2 linked regions of the Xenopus tropicalis genome follow. The protein of the gene in region 1 purifies or fractionates together with the protein of each later gene. This does not show direct contact. Links are inferred from orthologs where the notes say so. Each region holds a gene or a part of one and is shown in the gene's direction. Other genes may lie near its edges.

What was found. Proteins that work in one complex are often made in the same cells at the same time.
Region 2: the proteins of prdx2 (region 1) and sod1 fractionate together in Homo sapiens (co-fractionation; 3 studies listed by BioGRID, with this or other methods). This does not show direct contact. The link is inferred for Xenopus tropicalis from reciprocal best matches to the Homo sapiens genes PRDX2 and SOD1.

The regions. Positions count from the first base shown.
Region 1 is NC_030679.2:140,340,532-140,343,069, forward strand, and holds the end of prdx2 (peroxiredoxin-2), read left to right. Parts: intron 1-965; coding exon 966-1,088; intron 1,089-1,167; coding exon 1,168-1,298; intron 1,299-1,693; coding exon 1,694-1,779; 3' UTR 1,780-1,929; downstream 1,930-2,538.
Region 2 is NC_030678.2:15,648,460-15,652,555, reverse strand, and holds the start of sod1 (superoxide dismutase [Cu-Zn]), read left to right. Parts: upstream 1-1,216; 5' UTR 1,217-1,232; coding exon 1,233-1,301; intron 1,302-4,096. UniProt on the Homo sapiens protein: Destroys radicals which are normally produced within the cells and which are toxic to biological systems.

The DNA.
Region 1 (2,538 bases):
AGCCCCTCTGGCATTTGCCTGAACCCACAGATTGCCAGTCCGGGCCTGAATAAATCGCACTATAATGCCCTCATACTGCACATAGCATTGTATTTAGCTCATAACAATTAACCCTAACACAGTAAAAAAACAGCAAAAAGTCGGCAAAAACCCTTGAGGAATAGAGGCCTCTAATCTGCATGGAGCATAACATCTTATCTTCCCAGCACTGGGTCACACTCCCCACCCAAAAAACTGCAATAGTGCAGATGTTTTAGAACCATAACGAGTGGCTTAAAATGGGAGTGGGCTTTGTGTCTACTGTACACAACGCTACACATTAGAACTGCTTTCAGGTAACCTATTTCTTCTGCTCAATGTACTTTCAATATGACCAAAGTCATACTAGCAAAACGGTTTCTCCTGCTGGGTGCCATTCTCATGTGCACCATTAGGTGGGGCTAGTGAGCAATGTGAACTTCTACAATGCTGAAATCCTTTCTAGCCTTCAGGAATACTGCTTTTCACTGTATTTCATTTATTTTGGGTGCCCCTGTCTCTCTCTGAATGTAATGCATTCCAGAACCCCATTTCTTCTGCCCCCACTGCATAATGTATTTAGGATCTGGAATTGTAAATAATGGTACAGTGACTTATAAACAAGTGCCTACTGTGTATATACTATTAATATAATGTATATAATATACCCTTTACTGTACAAGCTAATTAAGGTTAAAGGTGAAGAGACTACTAGTAGCAGCTACTTGCCATGGCTACTAAAAGACAATGCTGATTTACTGGGATGGGGGGGTGACATACTCCAACTTGCAGCGCAGCAGTAAAGAATGAATGAGGTTTATCGAAGCTGGGTGTGGTTTAGAGTGGGTGCAGTTATCTGAAACATTTAGGTGTTATATTAGGAAAGAGGGGATTGAAAGAGGTTAAGGTGGACCTATAACAGATATGAATGCACTATTATATTCCAGGACCAATGTACCCCGTAAAGAAGGCGGTTTGGGGCCCATTAACATACCCCTGGTGTCTGATCTGACTCATTCTATTGCAAAGGACTATGGTGTCCTGAAGGAAGAGGATGGAGTTGCCTACAGGTGGGTGAGGCTCGTTTTACCCCTTTTCCCTATAACCAGAGGTGCCACGTGCATTACTGAATGAAGGCTTGTGTTTCAGAGGGCTCTTCATTATTGATGGAAAAGGAAACCTTCGCCAGATAACCATTAATGACCTTCCTGTTGGCCGCTCTGTGGAGGAGACCTTGCGCCTGGTGCAGGCATTCCAGTACACGGATCAACATGGCGAGGGTAAGGAATGGGCAAGTCTGAGCTTACTTTTTTTTTTTTTTTTTTGCAAATTTTGGAGTATTTTCTTTTGATCTGTGGCTCTACAGTTAAGAAATTCAGCATCTATCTGGTTGCTAGGGTCCAAAGTAACCTAGCAACCAGTGGTTGAAATGAGAGACCAATAGGAATAGTGGTGGGACTAAATAGAAAGATAAGGAATAAAAAGGAACAATAACTAAATTGTAGCCTGACAAAGGTTAAAAAGTTACGAATAGGACATTCTACAACATACTAAAAGGTTAACTTCCCCTTGAATAGGTAGTTTCCTATGGTGGGGCATAGGTGGCAGTACAAGGACATTGGCATATGGTGTGCCCATGTAAAATCAGATTAAATGCAATCCCTTCTGTTTCCAGTATGTCCTGCAGGATGGAAGCCCGGCAGCAGCACCATCAAGCCCAATGTAAAGGACAGCAAGGAGTTCTTCTCTAAAGAATACTGACCGGCTGAAGCCTACTCACAAGGTGGCTCATGGATCCAATGCACTGACCTCTTCACTGGCCAAACAGATGCCACTCCCAGTGCTTCCTTCTGTAGGGAAGAGACAGCACTTACTCCTGATCTTAATTAAAAGTCTTCTTAAAAAAAAAAACTGTTTCATTCAAAGCTGACCAATTGGAAAGAAGCTGTCTGTGGTATCAGTGGGTAAGGAATTCCTATTGGAATCTGTGTGCTCTGCACTAGTGGATCTGGTTGTAATACCCGTTGCCTCCAGCAGAGGGTGATCTGATAATACATATTGTAGTTCTGCAGAATAGCCTGGCTGCCAGCCTTCATCTACCGAGTCACTAAAGCTCAGTTTGTCACGTGGCCGTGGGGGGGGGGGGGGGGGAATAGGTTTATGTGTGAGTAGTTAAATAGTCTCTAACCAGCTGGTGAATATACTTGTAGCAAAAAAGGGGGAAGTTCTCACCACTAAACCCAAAACTATTAGGGTAAAGGCACATGGGGCTACTAGTCACGACTGCTAAAGTAGACCATGTTGATCATTTACTGATAATTGTCTTTACCTGTGGTTTTGGGGGTTTTATTTATCCTCAGTAATGCCTGTGACAGGGTATTTTCTAGCATTTAGTAGCTGCTACTAAGTAGCTCTGTGTGTCTTCACCATTAAAGGAACAGTAACATCAAAAAATTAAAGTGTTTCAAAGTAATTAAAATATAATGCACTGTTGCTCTGCAAAAAACTGGTGTTTTTGCT
Region 2 (4,096 bases), on another chromosome or scaffold:
AGACCTGTGAGTGCGGCATTTATACATACTATACAGATGCTTTGCTATCCTGCACCCAGGCATTATTTATGCTATCCTGCTACCCAGGGGCCCCCACACCCCCTCTGGCACCCCCACCGGCTACTCATCTAAGGCTAGCCCCTCCAGTGCCAGGGTCCGACTGCTACCCAGGGGTCCCCTCACCCCCTCTGGCACCCCCACCGGCTACTCATCTAAGGCTAGCCCCCCCCCCCAGTGCAACTTATACTTACTTTTTCCACGATCAGCAGGGGGAGGGCAGCGAGGGAGCAATAGGGGAGGGCAGCCAGGGATCGGGATAGTTTGGCGGAGCCTGGGGCTTTTCCAAGAAACAGACATAGGGGCACATTTACTAAAATGCGCTTTTTTCTGGCCTTGAAATGCAAAGTAAACACGATAATTTCTGTAGTTCTAAAATGTCTCGACAAAGCTTTTATCGTTTGTGCAAAAATATCGCAATTGCGTTCTGAAAGTTTGTAAACGCCACAAAAACAGTTTTTGAAGCCCCCATAGGACTCAATGGCACTTGACAAACCTGGCAACGTCCCAAAGTGTAACCATAGCGATAATGAATTCCAAAATGTTCATATTCTGTGCACAAAATACGACTTTTTCATGGAAATTTTACCGAAAACCATGAAAAACCATGAAACTGACTTTTTCCCATACATTCCAAAATGTTCTATAAAAATACGAATTTATCTCAAAATTGTTTAGTAAATGGGCCCCATAGTGTCAGTAGCACTGCTCAGTAAGGAAATCTTTTTTTTAAATACTTTATTTTGTATTTATTTTGAAGTAACAGGTGGGTTTGGAGAAGTTCAGCATTAATGTAAATCCGCCCATTAACACTTCTGCTACAGTTTCAAGTCAAAACCCAAGAATAAAAAGGGATAAGCAGATACTGCCTTAGCAATTGCATTTACAAATAACGTTAAAAGCACTGAAACTGTGCAAATAAATGTTGTTAATTAAAATGATATTTTTATTGATTATACAACCAAGAATAAAGATTTGGGCGGAGTCAGAGCTTACAGGCAGCCCGCGGGTCACGTGGTTGAGGGAGCAGCCCATTGGCTCAGCTGCTGGGGCGGTGGGGCCTAAAGCGCCGCTTTTATTGGTTGGAGGAATCACGTGGTACGTTTGTGTCACTAGTTGTCTCTCAAGGTGCGCGGCTCCGCTTTCTCCGCTGTCCGGTCTCGGTAGCTGCAGTCATGGTGCGGGCGGTGTGTGTGCTGGCGGGAAGCGGCGACGTGAAGGGGGTGGTGCACTTCCAGCAACAGGCGAGTATTGTAGCGTGGCTTTAGGCATTGTGCCTTATGCGCTTACCCTTACTGGGCCTGTCCTGTGCCTTCAGCTGCTAGTGTTCCTGCAGCCTGCGCCATCTGTGCAATTCCAACCAGCCTTTCCCCTTAGGCAGTATGAGATGCACAGTGCATGCTGGGAGGCGGTTGGGTTGGCAGTGCATGCTGGGAGGCGGTTGGGTTGGCAGTGCATGCTGGGAGGCGGTTGGGTTGGCAGTGCATGCTGGGAGGCGGTTGGGTTGGCAGTGCATGCTGGGAGGCGGTTGGGTTGGCAGTGCATGCTGGGAGGCGGTTGGGTTGGCAGTGCATGCTGGGAGGCGGTTGGGTTGGCAGTGCATGCTGGGAGGCGGTTGGGTTGGCAGTGCATGCTGGGAGGCGGTTGGGTTGGCAGTGCATGCTGGGAGGCGGTTGGGTTGGCAGTGCATGCTGGGAGGCGGTTGGGTTGGCAGTGCATGCTGGGAGGCGGTTGGGTTGGCAGTGCATGCTGGGAGGCGGTTGGGTTGGCAGTGCATGCTGGGAGGCGGTTGGGTTGGCAGTGCATGCTGGGAGGCGGTTGGGTTGGCAGTGCATGCTGGGAGGCGGTTGGGTTGGCAGTGCATGCTGGGAGGCGGTTGGGTTGGCAGTGCATGCTGGGAGGCGGTTGGGTTGGCAGTGCATGCTGGGAGGCGGTTGGGTTGGCAGTGCATGCTGGGAGGCGGTTGGGTTGGCAGTGCATGCTGGGAGGCGGTTGGGTTGGCAGTGCATGCTGGGAGGCGGTTGGGTTGGCAGTGCATGCTGGGAGGCGGTTGGGTTGGCAGTGCATGCTGGGAGGCGGTTGGGTTGGCAGTGCATGCTGGGAGGCGGTTGGGTTGGCAGTGCATGCTGGGAGGCGGTTGGGTTGGCAGTGCATGCTGGGAGGCGGTTGGGTTGGCAGTGCATGCTGGGAGGCGGAGGGACAGTCCCATAGGAGGGTATTTCTGCATTGCCAGTATAGGTGTGGGGGGGTCTTGTCTCTGTCCTAGACTTTTACTGGTGGGAACAAATCATTTCCACATAAGCTGTGGCCCCTGTGCCACTTCCACGGTCTCTCCTACACACAGCGCTTGTTATAGGGCCCCGGGGTGTGAGCGCCACTCGGTGAGGGATATGTAACTCCCCGCAGCCCACTGACCGCTATATCATGAATGACAGTTGATGGGAGTTGTATAATAACAGAGGGCTGTAAGTGGGATGCACACGTTAGTCTCCCCCCCCCCCCCCTCTCACTCTCTCTCTCCTCTCCCAGGCCTCTTGCCTTTAGCTCTGTACCTAGTGTCCCACCCCCACAGCACAGAATCCAGGGGGGAAAGTCCATGTTGCGCTGTAGGGAAATCCCACAGAATCATTTAGTTTGCTGCTTAGTGCCCTGCAAAAATACCTTCCAGAACAAGTAGGTGCTGGGAGTTGTAGTTTCATACAGCCTGTGGTGCCAGTTGTGCCCATGTCTGCTGTCCTTATACACATGCATTGTTACCAGTGCCCCATGCCCTGCCGGAGCCGTTCCTGCCATGTAGTAGATGAGGAATGGGTGCCCTGCATAACTCCAGGGAATTGAAACCAGTGCCCCAGGGCTTTGCCCAGTGCTGCTATTGGTTACAATGAACACAAAGAGCATGCAGGGAGTTATAGTTTAGTTATACAGGAGAGTCACAGGTTGATGTTGTGACCCGCTGTTCTGGTTGGTGTGTCACGTGCCGCCCTTTCACCCCAGACTGTGTGTTTGCAGTGAGGCCCAGGCTGCATGACGTGCCAGCGGGCCGGCTATCACTGGGCTAAGCTGCGGCTCTCAGCGAGGGGAAGTCGGGTCAGAGCGGCCATCTGTTGTGTGGGTGTGAGGGCCGGGGGCTCGCTGCTTTGTGGCCATGTGGCATGGGGATTATACATGTTGGCAAAGCCACTCTTGGTTATCTCCTTGTAATTAGCCTGCTGGGCAGGCAGGTTGAGGCTGTGCCAGTTAGTGCAATTGTGCCAGGGGGGCCCTGATGCAGCACAAGCCCTCACTGTTTATGCCCAGGGCACACACTCACCATTAGCCACATTGTGCAGTCATTCACTGTCTGTAGAGCAGTGTTGGGCCCAGGGACTCCGCTAGATGCGGTTGAACTACAACTCCCACTATCTGACTGCATCTGGGCTCTTTGCAATAGAAGCAGCCAGTGTGGCAGAATGCCAGGCAGATAGGGCACAATGCCAGGCAGTTAGGGCACTGCTGTGTAAGTGTGACTCAGCACTTTGGGACTGGAACGTCGAGCTTTGTTTTGCAATAACAGCCATTTGCTCCGGCGTTTCATTGGCTGCAGCAGTGCCAGCGGTGTCTGAGACGGGCAGTGTTGGACTGCAGCTCCCACAATCCCACAGATAAGTCAGCTTAAAAATGAACCCGAGGTCAGGAATCTTCTCTGTGGCTCTGATTGGTTTCCCATTCTGTAGGCGGGCCATATGCCATTAACCCCTCAGGTGCTGGCACTTTTTGATCCATCTGCTGCATGAGTGGCCAGTAACATGGGCTGTGTTTAAAAAGACAAGTTGAATCTGTGGCACTGGCACGATATGCGGATTTGCCCACATGTGCAGCGTTATTACATTCAGTCGTCTAGAGCTTTAATAGTCATGTGACTCAGGGTAGGGGTTCAGTTAGAGCCTGCGCCTCGCTGAATCCAAATGCTGTAGCCATATATATCCCATAGCTCCGCTATCCTACCCGCACATTCCAGCTTTAATATAACATAGATTTCTATACACTGTACTGTTATGGT